Linked DNA regions of Xenopus tropicalis. The protein of the gene in region 4 interacts with the protein of the main gene of each other region in a biochemical or structural test. Links are inferred from orthologs where the notes say so. Each region holds a gene or a part of one and is shown on either strand. Other genes may lie near its edges.

What was found.
Region 1: the proteins of ube2a (region 4) and rnf20 form a complex in vitro, tested with the Homo sapiens proteins (4 studies listed by BioGRID, with this or other methods). The link is inferred for Xenopus tropicalis from reciprocal best matches to the Homo sapiens genes UBE2A and RNF20.
Region 2: of the proteins of ube2a (region 4) and uba1, one has a biochemical effect on the other in vitro, tested with the Homo sapiens proteins (6 studies listed by BioGRID, with this or other methods). The link is inferred for Xenopus tropicalis from reciprocal best matches to the Homo sapiens genes UBE2A and UBA1.
Region 3: the proteins of ube2a (region 4) and rad18 form a complex in vitro, tested with the Homo sapiens proteins (12 studies listed by BioGRID, with this or other methods). The link is inferred for Xenopus tropicalis from reciprocal best matches to the Homo sapiens genes UBE2A and RAD18.
Region 5: the proteins of ube2a (region 4) and rnf40 form a complex in vitro, tested with the Homo sapiens proteins (3 studies listed by BioGRID). The link is inferred for Xenopus tropicalis from reciprocal best matches to the Homo sapiens genes UBE2A and RNF40.

What each region holds. Positions count from the first base shown.
Region 1 is NC_030683.2:57,238,128-57,241,641, reverse strand, and holds part of rnf20 (E3 ubiquitin-protein ligase BRE1A), read right to left. Parts: intron 2,671-3,514; coding exon 2,526-2,670; intron 2,304-2,525; coding exon 2,118-2,303; intron 1,976-2,117; coding exon 1,857-1,975; intron 1-1,856. UniProt on the Homo sapiens protein: Component of the RNF20/40 E3 ubiquitin-protein ligase complex that mediates monoubiquitination of 'Lys-120' of histone H2B (H2BK120ub1).
Region 2 is NC_030684.2:525,619-529,586, reverse strand, and holds the start of uba1 (ubiquitin-like modifier-activating enzyme 1), read right to left. Parts: upstream 2,815-3,968; 5' UTR 2,791-2,814; coding exon 2,677-2,790; intron 1,908-2,676; coding exon 1,849-1,907; intron 1-1,848. UniProt on the Homo sapiens protein: Catalyzes the first step in ubiquitin conjugation to mark cellular proteins for degradation through the ubiquitin-proteasome system.
Region 3 is NC_030680.2:131,548,919-131,553,092, reverse strand, and holds the start of rad18 (E3 ubiquitin-protein ligase RAD18), read left to right. Parts: upstream 1-1,362; 5' UTR 1,363-1,485; coding exon 1,486-1,539; intron 1,540-4,174. UniProt on the Homo sapiens protein: E3 ubiquitin-protein ligase involved in postreplication repair of UV-damaged DNA. Postreplication repair functions in gap-filling of a daughter strand on replication of damaged DNA.
Region 4 is NC_030684.2:59,680,799-59,684,823, reverse strand, and holds the start of ube2a (ubiquitin-conjugating enzyme E2 A), read right to left. Parts: upstream 2,810-4,025; 5' UTR 2,653-2,809; coding exon 2,609-2,652; intron 2,032-2,608; coding exon 1,951-2,031; intron 1-1,950. UniProt on the Homo sapiens protein: E2 ubiquitin-conjugating enzyme that accepts ubiquitin from the ubiquitin-activating enzyme E1 and transfers it to a E3 ubiquitin-protein ligase. In vitro catalyzes 'Lys-11', as well as 'Lys-48'-linked polyubiquitination.
Region 5 is NC_030685.2:13,689,765-13,693,278, forward strand, and holds part of rnf40 (E3 ubiquitin-protein ligase BRE1B), read right to left. Parts: intron 3,512-3,514; coding exon 3,390-3,511; intron 3,065-3,389; coding exon 2,709-3,064; intron 2,482-2,708; coding exon 2,364-2,481; intron 2,202-2,363; coding exon 2,052-2,201; intron 1,476-2,051; coding exon 1,263-1,475; intron 1,010-1,262; coding exon 884-1,009; intron 764-883; coding exon 623-763; intron 539-622; coding exon 437-538; intron 181-436; coding exon 4-180; 3' UTR 1-3.

The DNA.
Region 1 (3,514 bases), on a different chromosome or scaffold from region 4:
TCTGCATTATCTCGCGTTTTCAACTAAACTAGAATTTAAAAGTTTATATATTGTGATTCCTCACAATCTTGGATTAATATCTGCGGGAAAGCCTTAAATTCTGACCAGACAGCACCCCCTACTGAGTTTTTTAAAGGGATGGTTTACCTTGGAGTTAACTTTTGGTATGTTATAGACTGTCCTATTCTACTAACTTTGCAATTGGTTGTCTGCCTTCCTTTTCTAGCCCTTTTTGTCTTTCAACTTCAGAAAGAACGCAAATGGACATATAAACTTGACTCTCTGGCAATATAATTGTGTCAATATTGTGCTCTCAGCTATATGATTACTTAAGTCCAGACAGGGGACCATAATAATGTCATTGTCCACATATAGCTGCTCAGATGCACATGAACTCACTACTACCATCTACCTTTAGTGGCTGCAACAGATTTACCCCAGATATGTTCTCCTGATGTTACATGACATCTAATTGTGTCAGAATCTAATGATCTGTTTGTGCCAATCATATAACTGGGTAGTACTAGTGCCGGGTCCGGTGAACCTGACCGTGCCAACCAATAGACCCATTTGGTTGCTACTTGCTATGCCCCCGCTTTCTTACTGCTTAAGTACTTGCAGCTTTGTACTGCTACTGTTGCAGAGGGTAGTGCTAATCACAAAAGCAGGTATGCATTTCTGAGGAAGGAGGGGCATCCCCCGAAATGTTGTGTGCAGAGATCTCGATAAACAAAAAAGTTATTTAGCGCAATTGCTGAATTTTGAGTGCCATCTGTAACAGTTCGATGTTGTTACTATGCATTGGGCTCCAGGGCTTACAGATTTGAACACCACATCAACTTTTGAACATTATTTACAATTTGTAAGGATTGTGAAATATTCTCTATGACAACACACTTCAACAATCCTTCCTGCACTGCTATGTGAATGCCGGCTTAACATACGTGCGCTTCCATGACAACACACCTTAGTTTTTATGAGTGTGCTCCGGGTGGAAGTAGTTCTGAGAGGGTCTGACAGACTTAGGTTCCCTGACCAAGTTACAATAATGGGGGAGGATGTGGCACTCCTCAAAAAATTGAGTATACAATGTTGTTCACTTCTAAATGTTGGATACAGACTGCATTCACTCTGATTATTTCACACATGCTATTCTGGCACGATTTCTCTACACTAGGGTATTTAAGTTTGGGTGGAGGGGTAAATTCTGTTTGTGTGTCTTGGGGCTCACAAGAAGAATGAAATGTTGACATTTTGATATATATATACCAAGCAAAAGATACCGCACTCACAGGACTTACTTGAGAAAAAGGTGATTTAATATTCACAACATAGCACTGACGTTTCGGCTGTCTCCACAGCCTTTTTCAAAGAGACAGCCGAAACGTCCGTGCTATGTTGTGAATATTAAATCACCTTTTTCTCAAGTAAGTCCTGTGAGTGCGGTATCTTTTGCTTGGTATACATCTGGAATTTATAATACTGCACCCGGGCATCCAGTGACCTTTAAACGTGAGTGCCGGCTTCTTGAAAGATATATATATATATATATATATATATATATATATATATATATATATATATGTATATATATGTATGTAGAAACAGAATCGCACTCCCAGGACTTGTGAAAACCATACCTTTCTGTAATTTAGGTCTCCATACCTTAAGTCTACAGAAACATCAAACCTAATAGACTCTCCAGTTAGTTATCTACTTATGTGCAAAACATATTATTAAAATGTATGACATGTTTTCTCAAAATTACAAAAAATGTCTATATTTAACATTGTATAAACAAAAACTTATATATTTAACATTATTTTCATTAACCGGTTACAAAAAAACCCACTGACCTCTTGGGACATATTCTGCTGTTTCTCTTGTAGCAAGTTACAAATCTCCTGCAATCGTGCATTCTCATTTGAGAGCAAGGAGTTTAAATCCCTGACAGCCTCTTCCACGTGAGATGGATCTATAGAGAGAGTCGGAAGATACAGGAATAGAGATGTAAAAGTTCTTCAGTGTGGTAATAACAAAATTAAAGCCCAAGAAAAATAAAACTCAAAAAGAATAAAATGGAACAAAAATCATAAAATTGAAAGACTGCTTCCCACCAGTGCTATTCAGTTTCTTGGCAAGATGGTCCAGTTGGTCATGCAGTCGGTCATACACCAAAACAATACGAGAGACTGCACGTCGTGAAGATTCTACACGTTCTTGTAGCTGAGATTCAATTTCTTCACTGCTGCTGCTGGCCAGAGTGGCCAAAAAGGAAAGAGGAGCTTCCCATAGTCCTTCGCCTACAATGAGTTAACCAGTCAGAGATTGTTTGGATTTTAGTTTAAAGGTTCAATACAAAAGAAATAAAAACCCATTTTATGTTACAAAATCTAAAAAGTTTCCTCAGTTTTTTATTTCCACTGAAAACTGATTTACTTAGTGGATATTTATTGTTATAAACATCATCTTTTTGAGAAAATAAATGGTGTTCTTGTTCACCACTATCCCTCCCTACTGCTTACCCCTTTCATTTTCTTTGCGTTCTGGATTGCTGTCAGAATCTGGCTCTGGCTCTGGCAGAACCAATGCTTTGCGTTCTGTCAGAAACTCCCCCAAGTCTTGATCCAAGTCATAACGACCCAAAAAAATGCCAATATTTTCATCAAACTGCAATAAAAGATTTTAAATGAATGAAAAATAAAAGAAATTTAGGGCATAAGCAGAAAAAATGAAAATGTGGCCATTTCAACATGCCTCTTCTATACATCAACAAATAGGTATTCAACCGCACAGCCCTTAGATCAGGCTTGATGCATCAATCCTCGCAAGGCACACCGCTGAGCCATTCAATACAATCCAAATATAGAGGAGAGCACCATAAAGCAGAATTCTGCTAAAATGCTATTTATTTCAGACAAAAAAACACAACATGTTTCGGGCAGTGTGACACACTTGATAAAGGGCGTCACACTGCCCGAAACATGTTGTGTTTTTTGGTCTGAAATAAATAGCATTTTAGCAGAATTCTGCTTTATGGTGCTCTCCTCTATATTTGGAATGCCTCTTCTATACATATGTGTTTGTGGCTTTATAAATATTTATGTGTTATACACTGAGTAATGTGGACTGGACAGTAGTCAAAGAGAAGCAACTGGGGAGAGCATCTACACACAGCATCTGAAGTGATCAGGGCAGAATGTGAGGGCTGCAGACCAGAGGGAAGCCATGATCAACTGGCTAGAGAAAAGGAACCAGACCATCATGTTCTGTGTTTGTGGGTAGCTATAATAAGGTAGACTTCATTATTAATCTGTAACTAATGTAAATATATTGTTTTGTTTTAAATAATCACTTAATTTTAACAGTCAATTGATTTGTTATTCAATAAATTCATTTTATATACACTTATTGGTGTGGATTATTTGTCTGCTTCTCAAAAGAAGCGTAACCCTAGTAAGAGGGGTGATTAATATATTATTATTACATATTTATTTATATAGTCAGAATCTTA
Region 2 (3,968 bases), about 59 Mb from region 4:
AAGCCATTAGCCCTGCTGGCCCTCCAGTCCCTCCCCCCAAGCATTCCCATCTCTATCTAAGCCATTAGCCCTGCTGGCCCTCCAGTCCCTCCCCCCAAGCATTCCCAGCTCTATCTAAGCCATTAGCCCTGCTGGCCCTCCAGTCCCTCCCCCCAAGCATTCCCAGTTCTATCTAAGCCATTAGCCCTACTGGCCCTCCAGCCCCTCCCACCAAGCATTCCCAGTTCTATCTAAGCCATTAGCCCTACTGGCCCTCCAGCCCCTCCCACCAAGCATTCCCAGTTCTATCTAAGCCATTAGCCCTGCTGGCCCTCCAGTCCCTCCCCCCAAGCATTCCCAGTTCTATCTAAGCCATTAGCCCTGCTGGCCCTCCAGTCCCTCCCCCCCAAGCATTCCCAGCTCTATCTAAGCCATTAGCCCTGCTGGCCCTCCAGTCCCTCCCCCCAAGCATTCCCAGTTCTATCTAAGCCATTAGCCCTACTGGCCCTCCAGCCCCTCCCACCAAGCATTCCCAGTTCTATCTAAGCCATTAGCCCTACTGGCCCTCCAGCCCCTCCCACCAAGCGTTCCCAGTTCTATCTAAGCCATTAGCCCTACTGGCCCTCCAGCCCCTCCCACCAAGCATTCCCAGTTCTATCTAAGCCATTAGCCCTACTGGCCCTCCAGCACCTCCCACCAAGCGTTCCCAGTTCTATCTAAGCCATTAGCCCTGCTGGCCCTCCAGCCCCTCCCAGTTCTAAGCCATTAGCCCTACTGGCCCTCCCACTAAGCGTTCCCAGTTCTATCTAAGCCATTAGCCCTACTGGCCCTCCAGCCCCTCCCACCAAGCGTTCCCAGTTCTATCTAAGCCATTAGCCCTACTGGCCCTCCAGCCCCTCCCAGTTCTATCTAAAACCATTAGCCCTACTGGCCCTCCAGCCCCTCCCACCAAGCATTCCCAGTTCTATCTAAGCCATTAGCCCTACTGGCCCTCCAGCCCCTCCCACCAAGCGTTCCCAGTTCTATCTAAGCCATTAGCCCTACTGGCCCTCCAGCCCCTCCCAGTTCTATCTAAGCCATTAGCCCTACTGGCCCTCCCACCAAGCGTTCCCAGTTCTATCTAAGCCATTAGCCCTACTGGCCCTCCAGCCCCTCCCCCCAAGCATTCCCAGTTCTATCTAAGCCATTAGCCCTACTGGCCCTCCAGCCCCTCCCACCAAGCGTTCCCAGTTCTAGCTAAGCCACTAGCCCTCCAGCCCCTCCCACCAAGCGTTCTCAGTTCTAGCTAAGCCATTAGACACCCCCCCGGCTGCCAGGTTTACTGGGGGCCCAACATAGTTGTTCATGGAGTGAGGGGGGGACCCCACAAAGACACGGGGGGGGGGGGGGGGAGGACCTGGGATGCACAAAACAGTAACTGTGTATAGGGAAAGCTGCCAATCTATACCAGAAGGCACACATCTGTACAGCTGCCCATTCTGATTGGCCCACTCAAAGGCTGCAGTCACATGGCCATAAAGGCCAAGGAGACCCGGAAGAGTTGTCAGCACAAAATCCGCTGATCTGTTGCTTCTCCAACAAGCAATTATATTAGGGCTGCATGTGAGTCTCACGGGATTGGCCGACAGCAGTCACCTGGCCATGCTGAACAATACAGGGGTCTGGGGAGGTCAAAGGTCACTGAAGTTACACAGACTGAAAAGGGTTAAAGCTACTGGGCAGTTTAACCTCCCAGAGAGAAAAAAGTCCCCAGGCCTTGGTTCCACACAGCAGAGGGGCCCCCAGCAACAGTCGAGGAGCCAAACCCTGCAGCCAATAGGAAGAAAGCCCCCCCGAATAACATGCAGCCAGGGAGGGTCTTATACTTACAGCTGCCTCGAGTAGAGACCCTCGTCTATCTCAGCAGAATTCCCGTTCCGAGCCATCCCCTGCAATAAATCCATTGGGTTAATCTGGGGGCCACATTAGAGCCCTCCCCTGCAATAAATCCATTGGGTTAATCTGGGGGCCACATTAGAGCCCTCCCCTGCAATAAATCCATTGGGTTAATCTGGGGGCCACATTAGAGCCCTCCCCTGCAATAAATCCATTGGGTTAATCTGGGGGCCACATTAGAGCCCTCCCCTGCAATAATCCATTGGGTTAATCTGGGGGCCACATTAGAGCCCTCCCCTGCAATAAATCCATTGGGTTAATCTGGGGGCCACATTAGAGCCCTCCCCTGCAATAAATCCATTGGGTTAATCTGGGGGCCACATTAGAGCCCTCCCCTGCAATAAATCCATTGGTTAATCTGGGGGCCACATAGAGCCCTCCCCTGCAATAAATCCATTGGGTTAATCTGGGGGCCACATTAGAGCCCTCCCCTGCAATAAATCCATTGGGTTAATCTCGGGGCCACATTAGAGCCCTCCCCTGCAATAAATCCATTGGGTTAATCTGGGGGCCACATTAGAGCCCTCCCCTGCAATAAATCCATTGGGTTAATCTGGGGGCCACATTAGAGCCCTCCCCTGCAATAAATCCATTGGGTTAATCTCGGGGCCACACTAGAGCCCTCCCCTGCAATAAGCCCATTGGGTTAATCTCGGGGCCACATTACTACTGGCCCCCAGCTAGAAAGCCAAGGGTACAGGTTGACTCTGAGCAAAGTAGAAAGGGGTTAGAATATGGCGGCACAGCCCGGGGGGCACTCACGTTGGCCGGCGCAGTCTGATCGGTGCTCACGGAGTTGGAGGATGAGCAGTTTGAACCCGTCTTTGTCTCAGATCCGGACACGCGACGCTTCTTGGACAGCGGCGAGCTGGACATCTAACCGGGAGAAAAGATCAGGTCAGTGTATGCGGTTGTACAGGGCTGGTACCGTAGCAGGGGCGGGGCACGAGGGACGAGCAAGCAGGGGCGGGGCACGAGCAAGCAGGGGGGGGGCACCAGGGACGAGCAAGCAGGGGCGGGGCACCAGGGACGAGCAAGCAGGGGCGGGGCACCAGGGACGAGCAAGCAGGGTGCGGGGCACCAGGGACGGAGCAAGCAGGGGCGGGGCACCAGGGACGAGCAAGCAGGGGCGGGGCACAGGACGAGCAAGCAGGGGCGGGGCACCAGGGACGAGCAAGCAGGGGGGGCCGGCGAAGGGGGGCACCAGGGACGAGCAAGCAGGGCGGGGCACCAGGACGAGCAAGCAGGGGGGGGCACGAGGGACGAGCAAGCAGGGGCGGGGCACGAGGGACGAGCAAGCAGGGACGGGGCACGAGGGACGAGCAAGCAGGGGCGGGCACGAGGGACGAGCAAGCAGGGGCGGGGCACGAGGGACGAGCAAGCAGGGGCGGGGCACGAGGGACGAGCAAGCAGGGGCGGGGCACGAGGGACGAGCAAGCAGGGGCGGGGCACGAGGGACGAGCAAGCAGGGGCGGGGCACGAGGGACGAGCAAGCAGTGTGCGCAAACACAGAGCAAATACAACAATTTCTGTAACTCTATAATGAATATTATAGAATGTCAGCTCTTGGGCAGAACAAGCAGCTCCTGTTGGGCATTACAAAGCTGCCATGCTGCAGGTATTGCCCCACCTGGGGGTGAGAGAAGGTACAACGGCAGGGAGACGGGGGCAGGCACAGCAGTGAGACTGCAGGAAATTCTACGGTATCTCTGGGGCCCAGGAAGGGTTTGGGGCCCCACCATTTGGCGTTTGCCCCGTATGAAGCCTGGCATAACCTACCCAGCATACTGTACCCCCCCCCCCCCAACATGGGGCAAAGCGGCTTTACACAGGCCTCTCTAGCAGTAGCAGCTGTACTCACACAGTGACACTCACAGGCGCCCAACTCATCCCCACGCAGCCCAATATAATAACACCCCTATACTATTTGTGCCACCCTCGCCGCACAGCTAAACCCCCCGTGGCAGCAGAGCGAGCAATCAAACAGGGTGACCCCCAATGCAATTGGTCTTTATTTCCACGTTTCTGCCCCCAACAACTCAACTCAATGGTAC
Region 3 (4,174 bases), on a different chromosome or scaffold from region 4:
TAACACTGCCTGAAATTAAGAGGTGGGAAAGCAGAGAGTCGTGAGCTACAAGCGAACCAATTGGATGCCATATAAACCCAAGGGGGTCTGTAAGTAGATTGGCAATCGGAAAGGGATATCACAACTGGGCACAAAAGGGTGATATAAGTAAAAGTCATCACTGGTGTTAAAAAGCACACGAGAGTGCACATTGTGAAGTAATAACAGTATTACACTATATATATTTTTTTTCTCTTTTTTCTTTTCCTCATAAGACCTCATCACTAAGTCTAAAGCAGAAGAGGGCACTTTGGAGTAATCTATTGGACTTTATTTTGACCTGGGACACGAGGTATCTGAAGTGAGGAGCATACACTCAAAATTGCATTTATTTATATTTGTAAAAGAGCATGAAGTTAACTACTGCATACCCCCCAACTGTCCCGCTTTTCGCGGGACAGTCCCGCTTTTTATGGCGCATCCCGCTGTCCCGAATAGTTCCATGAATGTCCCGCATTGCTCCTTCTGCGGCTTCGTTATGCCTCTCCTTGTGCAGCGCGACAGGCCCTTTTATAAGGTTGCGCCTGTGGGTGTGACGTCATTACGCACGGGGCGCAACCTTATAAAAGGGCCTGTCGCGCTGCACAAGGAGAAGCATAACGAAGCCGCAGACGAAGGCTGCGCCTATGGGAGGTACTGTGAATGGGGGGCTACTGTGATAAGGGGACACTGTGTATTGGGGGTACTGTGTATTAGGGGCTACTGTTTATAGGGGCACTGTGTATTGGGGGTTACTGTGTATAGGGGGCTACTGTGTATAGGGGGCTACTTTGTATAGGGGGCACTGTGTATGGGGGCACTGTGTATGGGAGACTACTGTGTATTGGGGGGTACTGTGTATGGGGGGCTACTGTGTATGGGGGGGCTACTGTGTATGGGGGTACTGTGTATGGGGGGGCAAAACTGGTACTTAGTTATAACTCACTTATAACTGACTGCCTTCTCTCTATACTTGTATTTTAATGTAGGAGTTGCTATATTGTTTTCCTTAGGTCGTTCAGTATGAGGGTATAGCACATTTTCGTCTGCGCCCGCCATTTGATCTATATAAAAGGGGTATTTTTTTAAAATGGAGTGTGGTAATTGGGGCGTGGCCACAAAAGGGGGCGTGATCAAAAAATTGCCTTGCTGCGCGCGCCAAATCTTTTTGTCCCTCTTTTCATTTTTCAAATGTTGGGAGGCATGCTACTGCTGTATCACATCGTATATTTCTTTGGATTTGGGGGACCTTTAAAAATGTTAAGATTTTATTGCAGGACACAGGGCGAATTCGCCTGCTTTAAGCCCATCCACACACCGCTTTGGCATATACCTTAGTGCTGTAGTTCCTCCTACAACTAGCTTGAACTACCTTTCCCGACATGCTTTGCGCACGATCACGTGACGTTGAGAGCAGCGCGGGAAATTTGGGGTAGCTCGGGTTTGGGTCGCTGTAATTCGGCTTCCATGGCAACCACACCAGAACCGGGATCTAAGGCAAAGGGCAAACAACCCGTGCAGGTAAGGTACTAGTGGCCAGTGCCGCGTACTGATAGGGTTTGTCAGTCATTGTGCCTCACAGGAAGTCCCGCCTGCCTGCACTCAGCGGCTTCTGTACAGCTGCCCTGGCTGCAGCATGTATATATACTGTACTGTGTAACCCTGAGTTATTATATGTATTGTATATACGAACTAGGAGTGCAGAGAATGCACACAGATATTGCTTTTAAAACCAATCACAAATAACTCTAAAGCCAATTGGATGGAGGTGTATTGGAAAGTTGTATACAATCTGGAGTGGAGTTTCCCTTTAGCAACAGTTGTCAGGCAGCAGTGTGGCATCCCTAATGTATTTGCACTTGTCCCCTTCAATGCCCCCCACTTCCTTCCCTCTGGCACAGTGATTTATATGGCCGCCCAGCTGCTACACAACATGTTTATGTTTCCTGGGGGGGGGGGAGTCATTGTTGGGAGGCGCAGATTTATTATTTCTGTAGCTCCATTTGGCCTCCTAGTGCAAGGCAACTGCAAATCACAGTAGGAAAGGGGACATAAACCGATAAATACAATCATGCCTAAGGAAAGAAAGAAAATTCGAAGCAACTTTGCGATATATTGCTTAAAGGGAAACGAAAGGCAAAATCACTTGGGGGTGCCAAAATGTTAGGCACCCCCAAGTGACTTTAACTGCTTACCTCATACCCCGGGCTGGTGCCCCTGTTAGGAGAAAACAGCACCAGCCCGGGGCACCTGTAGCTCATCGCTTCCTTCTTCCGGCTTCCGGCTTCCGTTGCTGGAATGCCAGCGGTGGGCGCATGCGCAGTAGAGTGAAAAGCCGTTAAGGGTTAAGTTCGGCTTTTTACTCTACTGCGCATGCGCGCGCAGCGAATCAGGAAGAAGCAAGCGCCGGCAGCTACCCCGGGCTGGTGCTGTTCTCTTCTCACAGGGGCACCAGGTAGGTGGTCAAAGTCACTTGGGGGTGCCTAACATTTTGGCACCCCCAAGTGACTTTGACTTTCTTTTTCCTTTAAAGGAACAGTAACACCAAAAAATGAAAGAGCTTTCAAGTAATAAAAATATAATGCACTGTTGCCCTGCACTGGTAAAACTGGGGTGTTTGCTACAGTAACACTACTATAGTTTATATAATAAGCTGCTGTGTAGCCACGGGGGCAGCCATTCAAGCTGGAAAAAAGGAGAAAAGGCACAGGCACATAGCAGATAACAGATAAGCTCTGTAGGATACAATAGTTTTATCTGTTATCTGCTATGTGCCTGTACCTTTTCTCCTTTGAATGGCTGCCCCCATGGCTACATAGCAGCTTATTTATATAAATTATAGTAGACTTTCTGAGGTAAACACACAACTTTTACCAGTGCAGGGCAGCAGCACATTATATTTTAGTTACTTTTATACACTTTCATTTTTTGGTGTTACTGTTCCTTTAACATTGTACGCAGTGTCGGTCTGTCCTGTTCTGAGTTTTTGATTCTCACATTAAACAATGTAACAGAATTTGGCTCTACCACAGTCAAGGCCTATTAAAGGGCACCTGTCACAAACATTTTGTTTCCCCCACCAGAGATGAATGCTAACAGAGCCCACATCTAGATGAGGAAAACGGTAGTATTTTTTGAAGGATAGTTCCCCCACTGTGGTGCTGTCAAGCCATGCTGGAGTGCAGCAAACAACATATTGAGCGAGTTTCCTGGCTTACTAAATATGTGCTTGGCTATGATTTTTGATCAGTCGACATGAATATTGTCTAGGCCTGGGCACTCTGCCCGTGTGTACACTATGCCCGTGTGTGCCTTAGTATGGCCTCCTGCACCGAAAATTGGTTCCTGGTGCAGGGAACGCTGCACTTAGATGCTTCTCCCTATGCATTCATGGAATGCTCAATATGCTTGTTGTACAATGCAGTGTTAAAGACAAGAGTGAACCAGGAAACTTGCTGATTGTGAAAGTTGCTCATTTTGTGCTTTGGTGTACCCTTGCCTTGCCAACTGCACTGGTAGTGGGCTCCAGGGCACAGCATTCCATGGGGGGCAAGTTCTTTAAACAGTTCTTATTTACTGTTTTGTTTTCCCACCTTGTCCACCTTTAATTATGACACCTCTGGTTTGCAGGAACAGCAATCCCAGTTTAATGGTGCTAGCAGATTGGGTAACTGGTCCGGGTGGGGTTTCAAAAATTTGAACTGTGCAGTAATGCAGGTTTTGTTGGCCTGCACCTCTGGTGGGATAAACATTTTAGTAATAGGTTGATTGGCTGGATTCTCTTACATTGTAAATGGGATTTATACTTGACAGCAGCAATGTAAAGAAATGCATCCTGGTGTTATACAGGTGGCAATTCTTTTCCATGGAGTAGTCAACAGAAATGGATCTTGGACTCAAAGGATCTAGTGTTTTCCAAGGCACTCGCTGCTTAACATAATGGTGCTGGCCATGAGCCAGTAAAGCAAATTGGGTGAAATTAAAGCTGGCAATACATTTACAGATCAAATCTTCATATGATTTTCTGTTTATGTATGGAGGCCTGCGAATCAGTTTTGGGATTGGGCAGGTGTGAAAATAAAAAAAAAAATTAAGAATAGCTGCCAGTCTTCCAATAAAAATAATATCTTTATTTGCTCAACTTAAAAATCTCACT
Region 4 (4,025 bases):
AGAATAAGCAATGCAGTGAGTGGAAACACACCCAGTCAAGCTGTTTACATATGCACTGTCCATGATGCTCTGAGGTCTTGCAAACACTTTTTATGTAATTTTAAATGTGAGCAGACAGACCAACTGAAGTTGAACTGAAAATTATATTTAAAACAATGCCTAGGTGTCCTAGGGCACAAGCAGTTGCTACTAGGATAACTTGCTGGATCGTGTCAGAATAAGATCACTTAATGTTATAAAATTACCCTGCCAACATTGCCTTACTGCTCTATTGCAGGACTGGCAATCTTTAAATGACGGAGAGCAGCACTGAAACACAAATAATGTTGAGATAAAAAAAAAAAGTGTTGCCAATCCAATGCTATTAGCGGCCCTATTTCACCTTTTAGCCTGTAGCAACCTTTAGAGGGTACTGCAGCTGAATGAATTTCTGCTTTTTTTTTTTACATGCACTCAAATTCTAATGGTTCTATACGAGTCCTATTTTTGAGGTTTATCACCAGAGTACATGATAAACATGATCTCTGCAGTACAGCGCACTAACTTTTTCTAAGGCTTAAGCCATTATCACAGTATGTATGTGGTTTTGTTTATGCTGCTTTAAATCACATATGCAGCATTGACTTAAATTCCCTAACCCCATCACTGCACACACAGGGTAGCTGCATGGAACTGAAACACCAGAAAAGAACCCATGTTACACATAGTATTTCTCAATTCAACCCTCCCAGCCTTATATTATTTAAATGAATAAAAAAAGATTCCCTGTTCCTGGTGGGTAACTTCCACTGACATCAATGACAGAAGGAATGGGTGTATCTGCTCAATGAGATACACCAAAACTAGTAGGCCTAAATCCTCACCCTAGTAGAGGTTAAGGGTTTGTAGCAGGGTTCACTAACAAACATATACAGAGTATTAACAGCAGTAATGTGATGAATGGAATGGGTTTAAGCTGGGATGAACCAAATAAAAAAAATGTATGTAGGATCCTGCCAAATCACGAGTCAAGCCAAACCAGATCTCAACCCTAAAAGTCATGTAACCTTAAAGGAGACATATTGGATAAATGGAAAGACCCCTAATTTTGTAGGCAATTATTAATATAATAAGGTGCTGGTTTCACTTTGGGCTAAAAAGTAACACTATCAGTAAAAAGGCCCCTTTATTGGAGCTCCTGATCGATCCTATCAGTTCTCTGTCCGTGTTTCAAATAAAGGGTCGGTGTGTCCTAACAGTTCCTGCCAGAAGCATCTTAGGAGGGGGATAGCCAATCACAGCCTTGCGCTCACACAAGCAAAGACAGGCTTCAGTTCCCTATCAGGTCACCCTAGCTGCTGATTGGTTCCTATCCTACAATGCAGTGTACCGAGAGCTGCCATACATTCTTAATTTTTATATGATATGTATCCTTTACAGTACAGGAATACTCATTAGCGCTCAGCTTTGGTTTGGCATTCAGCTACATTTTTGGTGGAGGAATTAGTTATTTAAAAAAAAATATATATATAGTATCTCAAATGTTTTCAGATCTTGTTGTTATTGGACATTTCAACTTAATTGTACTTGCCTGTATCCTCAATAAAACATATAGCAGATCAAAAATGTACTGTGTACTAAACAAAAGGGGCTCGCCAGGACTTTGTATTCTCCTCCCTTCTGCTTATTGTGCTTTTGTTAAAAGGCCTTATCCTTATGCCCATTTCTACTGTGATTAGACACTGCATTCCACAAAACAGATACTCCTAGGTCCTTCCAAATTGATTCACCCAATAACAGTTAGGGTTGTGTGTGTATTTTACACCCTAAATAAATAAATTCAATTTTTCCTGAATGGAAACTTATAATTCTTAGATGCTCTAATATAATTTTCCAGACTGAGTAGCAAAAAATTATAGGAGGGATCACACAAGGGAAGGATGACTTTGATGACCACCAGGGTGAACTTACCCAAATATTACTGCATTCCACACCATTATGTTGTTCTCAGAGGGTGCTCCACTCACCCCAGCAGGAGGATCCTCTTGGAGCCTGGAAACCAGTAAAACAAAAAATAGATAAGTTAGCCTAGTGATTGTCTGACTTTCATTTCAAGTGCCCCCCTTTCTTGTAGGTCTAACCTTTGGTCAGGGCCCCCTTAGTTCATATGTATCAGTCATTTAGAAACAGTTGCAAGAATATCTAGGACAGCAAATACATGTTTATCTCAAATCTTCCTGACCTTTAAACTGAGCTCTTGGGTGTAGTGAAGAGACCAAATCAGCATTTTCCCCATATATCACCCATACTAGCCTTCATACTAAGTACCCCACTGCTTCAGGAACCCCCAGAGAGGAAGGGGGGGGGGGGGGTAAGGGGACAGAGCCCCACAGTTTGGGAACCCAAAGCGCCCCTTACCTGTACCTTACCCCTCCTACACATGTCGCCAAGGAAGTGACCTAAGCACCTATTTTTCCAAGCTGTGGCCCTCCTGCTGCTCAACTACAAATCCCGACTACAGGGGACGCAGTTTCACTTCACCAATAGTTAAAGGGCCGCAAAATAGCCATCCTCAGCCAAAACCCACACAGCCTGCGATAGGCAAGCTCCGTTTTCTTCCCCCGGTTACCTTTTAAAGTCTCTCATCAGACGCCTTCTAGCAGGGGTTGACATTTGTCACCGTCACCGGAAATAAATTAAACAGAGACACTAAAAAGGGCTTGGCCTTATCGCTGTCGATTGTGGCCGATATTAATGCCAAAAGAGACGGTAGCTGGGCTCTAACAATATAATAATAATAACAATAATCTAGGAAGGCCGGCAGCAGGATCCGGCAGCGCTCTTCCGGGAGCTCCCGACCCTGGCGGAGGGATATGTGATCGCACAGCCGGAGAAAGAAAAACAAGTCCTTTTCCTCAGACTTGCCAAAGTCGCTGCATTCTGGGGTAGGGTAATAATAGAGGAATCCAACTCTAACTCTGTCTCCGCTGATAAATGAACTAATGTTAATGTAAAACAAATATAATTTAATTTGCATGCAAGAAATGAGCGATAAGCAGAGCTTTTCCTGAAAGGCCGAGTTTTAGATTGTGCGATGTGGTTTCCAAAACCCCCTACAGCGAACTTGGTATAGCCCAGGTTAGTGTTGTCGTCTAACAGCTGCTCCAACAAGATGACGTTGCACATGTTACGCCTCTAACCTATGATTGACGGTGGGATGAACGTCATGACTTGTGCTTAAGAGTTAGGTTGTTCCCTATGTTGCGTAAGATATTTATGTGTAATGTGAACTATTTTCATATGTATGTATAATAATCATTACATAGTTACATAGTTACATAGTTACATAGGGTTGAAAAAAGACCATTGTCCATCAAGTTCAACCCATCCGAGTAAACCCAGCACACAACCTATACTAACCAATCTATACACTCACATACATAAACTATATATATACAACCAGTAATACTAACTGTAGATATTAGTATCACAATAGCCTTGGATATTCTGCTTGTTCAAAAACTCATCCAGGCCCCTCTTAAAGGCATTAACAGAGTCTGCCATTACCACATCACTAGGAAGGGCATTCCACAGCCTCACTGCTCTCACCGTGAAAAACCACCTACGCTGCTTCAAATGGAAGCTCTGTTCCTCTAATCTATAGGGGTGACCTCTGGTGCGCTGATTGTTTTTATGGGAAAAAAGAACATCCCCCAACTGCCTATAATCCCCTCTAATGTACTTGTACAGAGTAATCATGTCCCCTCGCAAGCGCCTCTTTTCCAGAGAAAACAACCCCAACCTCGACAGTCTAACCTCATAGCTTAAATCTTCCATCCCCTTTACCAGTTTAGTTGCACGTCTCTGCACTCTCTCCAGCTCATTAATATCCTTCTTAAGGACTGGAGCCCAAAACTGCACCGCATACTCAAGGTGAGGCCTTACCAGGGACCTATAAAGCGGCAAAAATATGTCCTCATCCCTTGAGTCAATGCCCTTTTTTATACAAGACAGCACTTTATTTGCTGTAGTAGCTACAGAATGAC
Region 5 (3,514 bases), on a different chromosome or scaffold from region 4:
CCCTTAATTGATGTAAATCCGGTGAAAGTCGTGGGCTCCGAAGGCTGCGTTGCACTTGGGGCACTTGCGCTGCCGGGACTCGTATCGGGTCTTCACGCACTCGAAGCAGAAGACGTGAAAGCACTTGGTGAGGACGGCGTCCTTTTTCCGAGTGTTACAGCAAGGGCAAGTGAGTCGGGCCTGGAAGTGCCGAAGGGGTGGGAAGTACAGAGGAAGGGAGAGAAGGAGAAAGTGTCAGTACCCAGAACACATTGCAAAGCATTTCTTTCTAACCACCACATTATTGCTATAGCCTCTTCCTGTCTGTAGAGCTGACCCGGAGCCATTACAAACCCAGGGCCATTCGCTCTTTGCGGATTTTATTCCAACTTGATGTTCTCAAAGCAACTAATAAATAGTCTTAAGTGCCCTGCCCGACCCACTGCCCCTTACTTACCCTGTACTCTTTAATCTCTTCCTGTAGGATTTGGTCAGCATCTGCATAAACCTCCATCTTCTTCTGCTTTTCCAGTTTCCTTCGCAGCCGAGATACATCCTCCTGTAAAGGCACAAACCCCTGAATAAGTGAAACACACCCAATGGGCCGGATAATAAGGCACTCTCTGTGGGTCAAGCTTCTTACCTGAGCTCTTTTGAGACTAAAGGACTCCTTTTCTTTAGCGCTTCGGTTCTCACATACAAAGTTCTGGGTATCCCTAAGCGTTTCCCCTACATGCTCCATTTGCACTTTCAGGTCTTCGGCGAGCTGGGCTGCCTCGACTGCCTAGAAAGCAACATAAATGTATATAGTTATAATGGCGCAATACGATGAGCTCTTGTTTAGCAGAGGAATCAGAAGCATCAGCAATGAGCATAATTATAAATTATAATTCAGGTCGCTTACCTTCCTCTTGTTCAGTTCCAGTGACTGTGTTCTAAGAGTGACTTCCTTCTCAATGGAAGTCAAAGACGTGTGTAAGAGGCGCTCTCTCTCCTCCAGTTTCTGTACCTGTAACAGCTGAGCATCCACCTGAGACACACACAGCAACAGTGTTACATAATAATAATAACACACACCTTTTGGCACCAAGCAGTAGCGATGTAAAGTGAACAGTATGGCAAAAGGCTCCCTCTAGTGGCCAAAGATCCATTAACCCACTTTAAATGACCCATAGAGAACAAAGAAATGGGAAAAGTACCACAGACCCCCACTGACAGCAAAACCCAAATACAGAAAGTATTGGTTCCTTTCTTGACCCATTTTGCATGTAGCAAGTACCTACCTGGGCTTTCAGCCCTTGCACTTGCTCAGCCAGCTCCTCCTTCTCTTCCCTCAGGAGTTTGTGTATCTGGTTGGATTTGATCCTCTCGGACATCAGTTTGAAGTTGGCGTCGTCCTTCTCACGGAGCTGCTGCATCAGACGAATATTCTGTTCTTGCATGTCCTCAAACGCCTGGCCCGTCACGTCCATCTCTGACAGTAAGGCCTCCTCCTCCTGCGTTTAGAAATGAAATAGGCAGGGTTAATATTTATTTCTACCAGGAATTCCATAGGCCAAATGACATAGGGAACAGGGCCAGGGTGGAGTTAATTGCTCTGTTTAGACAGCATCAAGAGCCCTTTGGCGCTTAGGAGCAGGAATCCAGCACTGTGGGACTAACACAAAGGGGCTCATTCATCAACGATAGGCAAATCTGCCTGTGGGCAGTAACCCATGGCAACCAAACTGTTGTATTTATTGTTTTTTCTGTAGCTGGCTAAAAAAAAAGTCATTCACATAAATGTCCCTATGGGTTAAAGTCCATAGGCAAATTTACCCAGTACTGATAAATGAGCCCCAAGGTGGGCAGACTTAGGTCTTGGCCCTGTTGTCCGTGGCTGCCTGGAAGTATCCCTTGTGCTTATCCTTACACTTCCTTGCTGTATGAAACACATTAAAATAGCAAAGCAGAGTTAAATTGTGACACAATTACTATGTGTCTTTACTCCTAGTGGGAGCAGCCTTTTACCCCCAGTGTTCCTGAGTCTGCTAAGTTGTCTGTATTTCCTAAACAGCCCCTTTGTCTCTTACCTGTTTGGTGGCAGTCAGTTTCCTCTGTAAATGGTCTATTTGTTCCTCAGCCATCTTAATTTTCCTCAGTGCTTCTTCATCTGCAAGTTTCTTCCTCTCCCTCTTGTCTTTCTCCTCAAGAGCTTGCACCCGCGTGCGCTGCTCCTCCATCTGCAATAGAAAGGCAGAAACAGGCACAGAGTGCATGATATAATCCCTTCTATAATACATGTACACAATCAGAATGCAAGAACCTGCACCAATCAGAAACACGTAGATAACCAACAGTGCAACCATCAGCCACGCATGTATTTGTAGGTCAGAGAGACGCACCTCGGCCTTGGTCTTTCTCTCCGCTGCCATCAGCTGCACCTTGTCTCTCTGCTCTTTGGGGGCAGATTTGTACATATCGAGCAGCAGCTTCATCTCTTTCTGGCTCTCCTGGGCCTTCCTGAAAAGGAACATGAACAGTCATGTGAATGGGGTGGGAGGCAGTGTGTTAAATGTAAAGGGTTGATAAATTTGGCTGGTTGGATTGCAACAGTTTATAAACAGAAGCAGGGAAGCAGACAACTGATTATGTGAATAATCCAATGGGAAGGACTGAATGGAAAGCAGGCAGCAGTTGGCGGGGGGAATCGGCAATGTGCAATAACTGGGAAGGAAAAGTTCTCTTACTTGAGCTCTGCCCGGAGCTGTTTCAGAATGTCGCAGTCTTTCCTTTTGCTCTCATCTGTTTTCTGCTTGTCTTTCTCACGCTCCCTTTCCTTTTCCTTGTCTCTTTCCCGATCTTTGTCTCGCTCCCGTTCCGCCTCCCTCTCCCGGGCTTTGGTCCGCTCTGCTGCCTCTTTCTTTTGCTCTTCCTCCTCCTTTTTTACTTCAGGGGTAGTGGGAGTCTCAGGCTCTCGTGGCACGACTGCAAGGGGTTCTTTCTTCACTTCTACTTCTTCCTCTTTGACAGTAACGGGGGTCGTTGGTTCCGATCCTGAAGATCCAGGCTGAGGACAGGGTGGTCCGCCGATTTGAAAACGCAGCTGGGAAAGCAAGGGGCGATAAAGCGGGAACCATAAGAGGGGCAAATCATCAGTTACAAAGTATAAAAGAAGAAAGGTTGCTGTAATAATACAGTCAGGGACTCACTTTCCCATGATCTGAAAACGCAAACTTATATCTGTGGAATGTTCAGCTCTCAAGCTGATCTTGGTTCCCTAGACAAACCCTTGAAATAAAACTGTTGCTTTATAGCCATTTTTTCAGCACGTGCCCATTCCAGTATCAAACAGCGGAACAGGTTCTAGGCCCCGGGCAGTTTCCATTCATGCCAGCTGCAATAGGTCACTCTGGGGAAGCCCCTCTCACCTTGCTCACCTCTGCCTGGGAATCTCGCACCTTGCGCTTGTATCTTTGCACATCTCCCTTCAGTTGGTGGTTGTGGTTTTGGAGGCTTCCAATGAGATGCCGCATCTCCCTATTAATAGGACCTG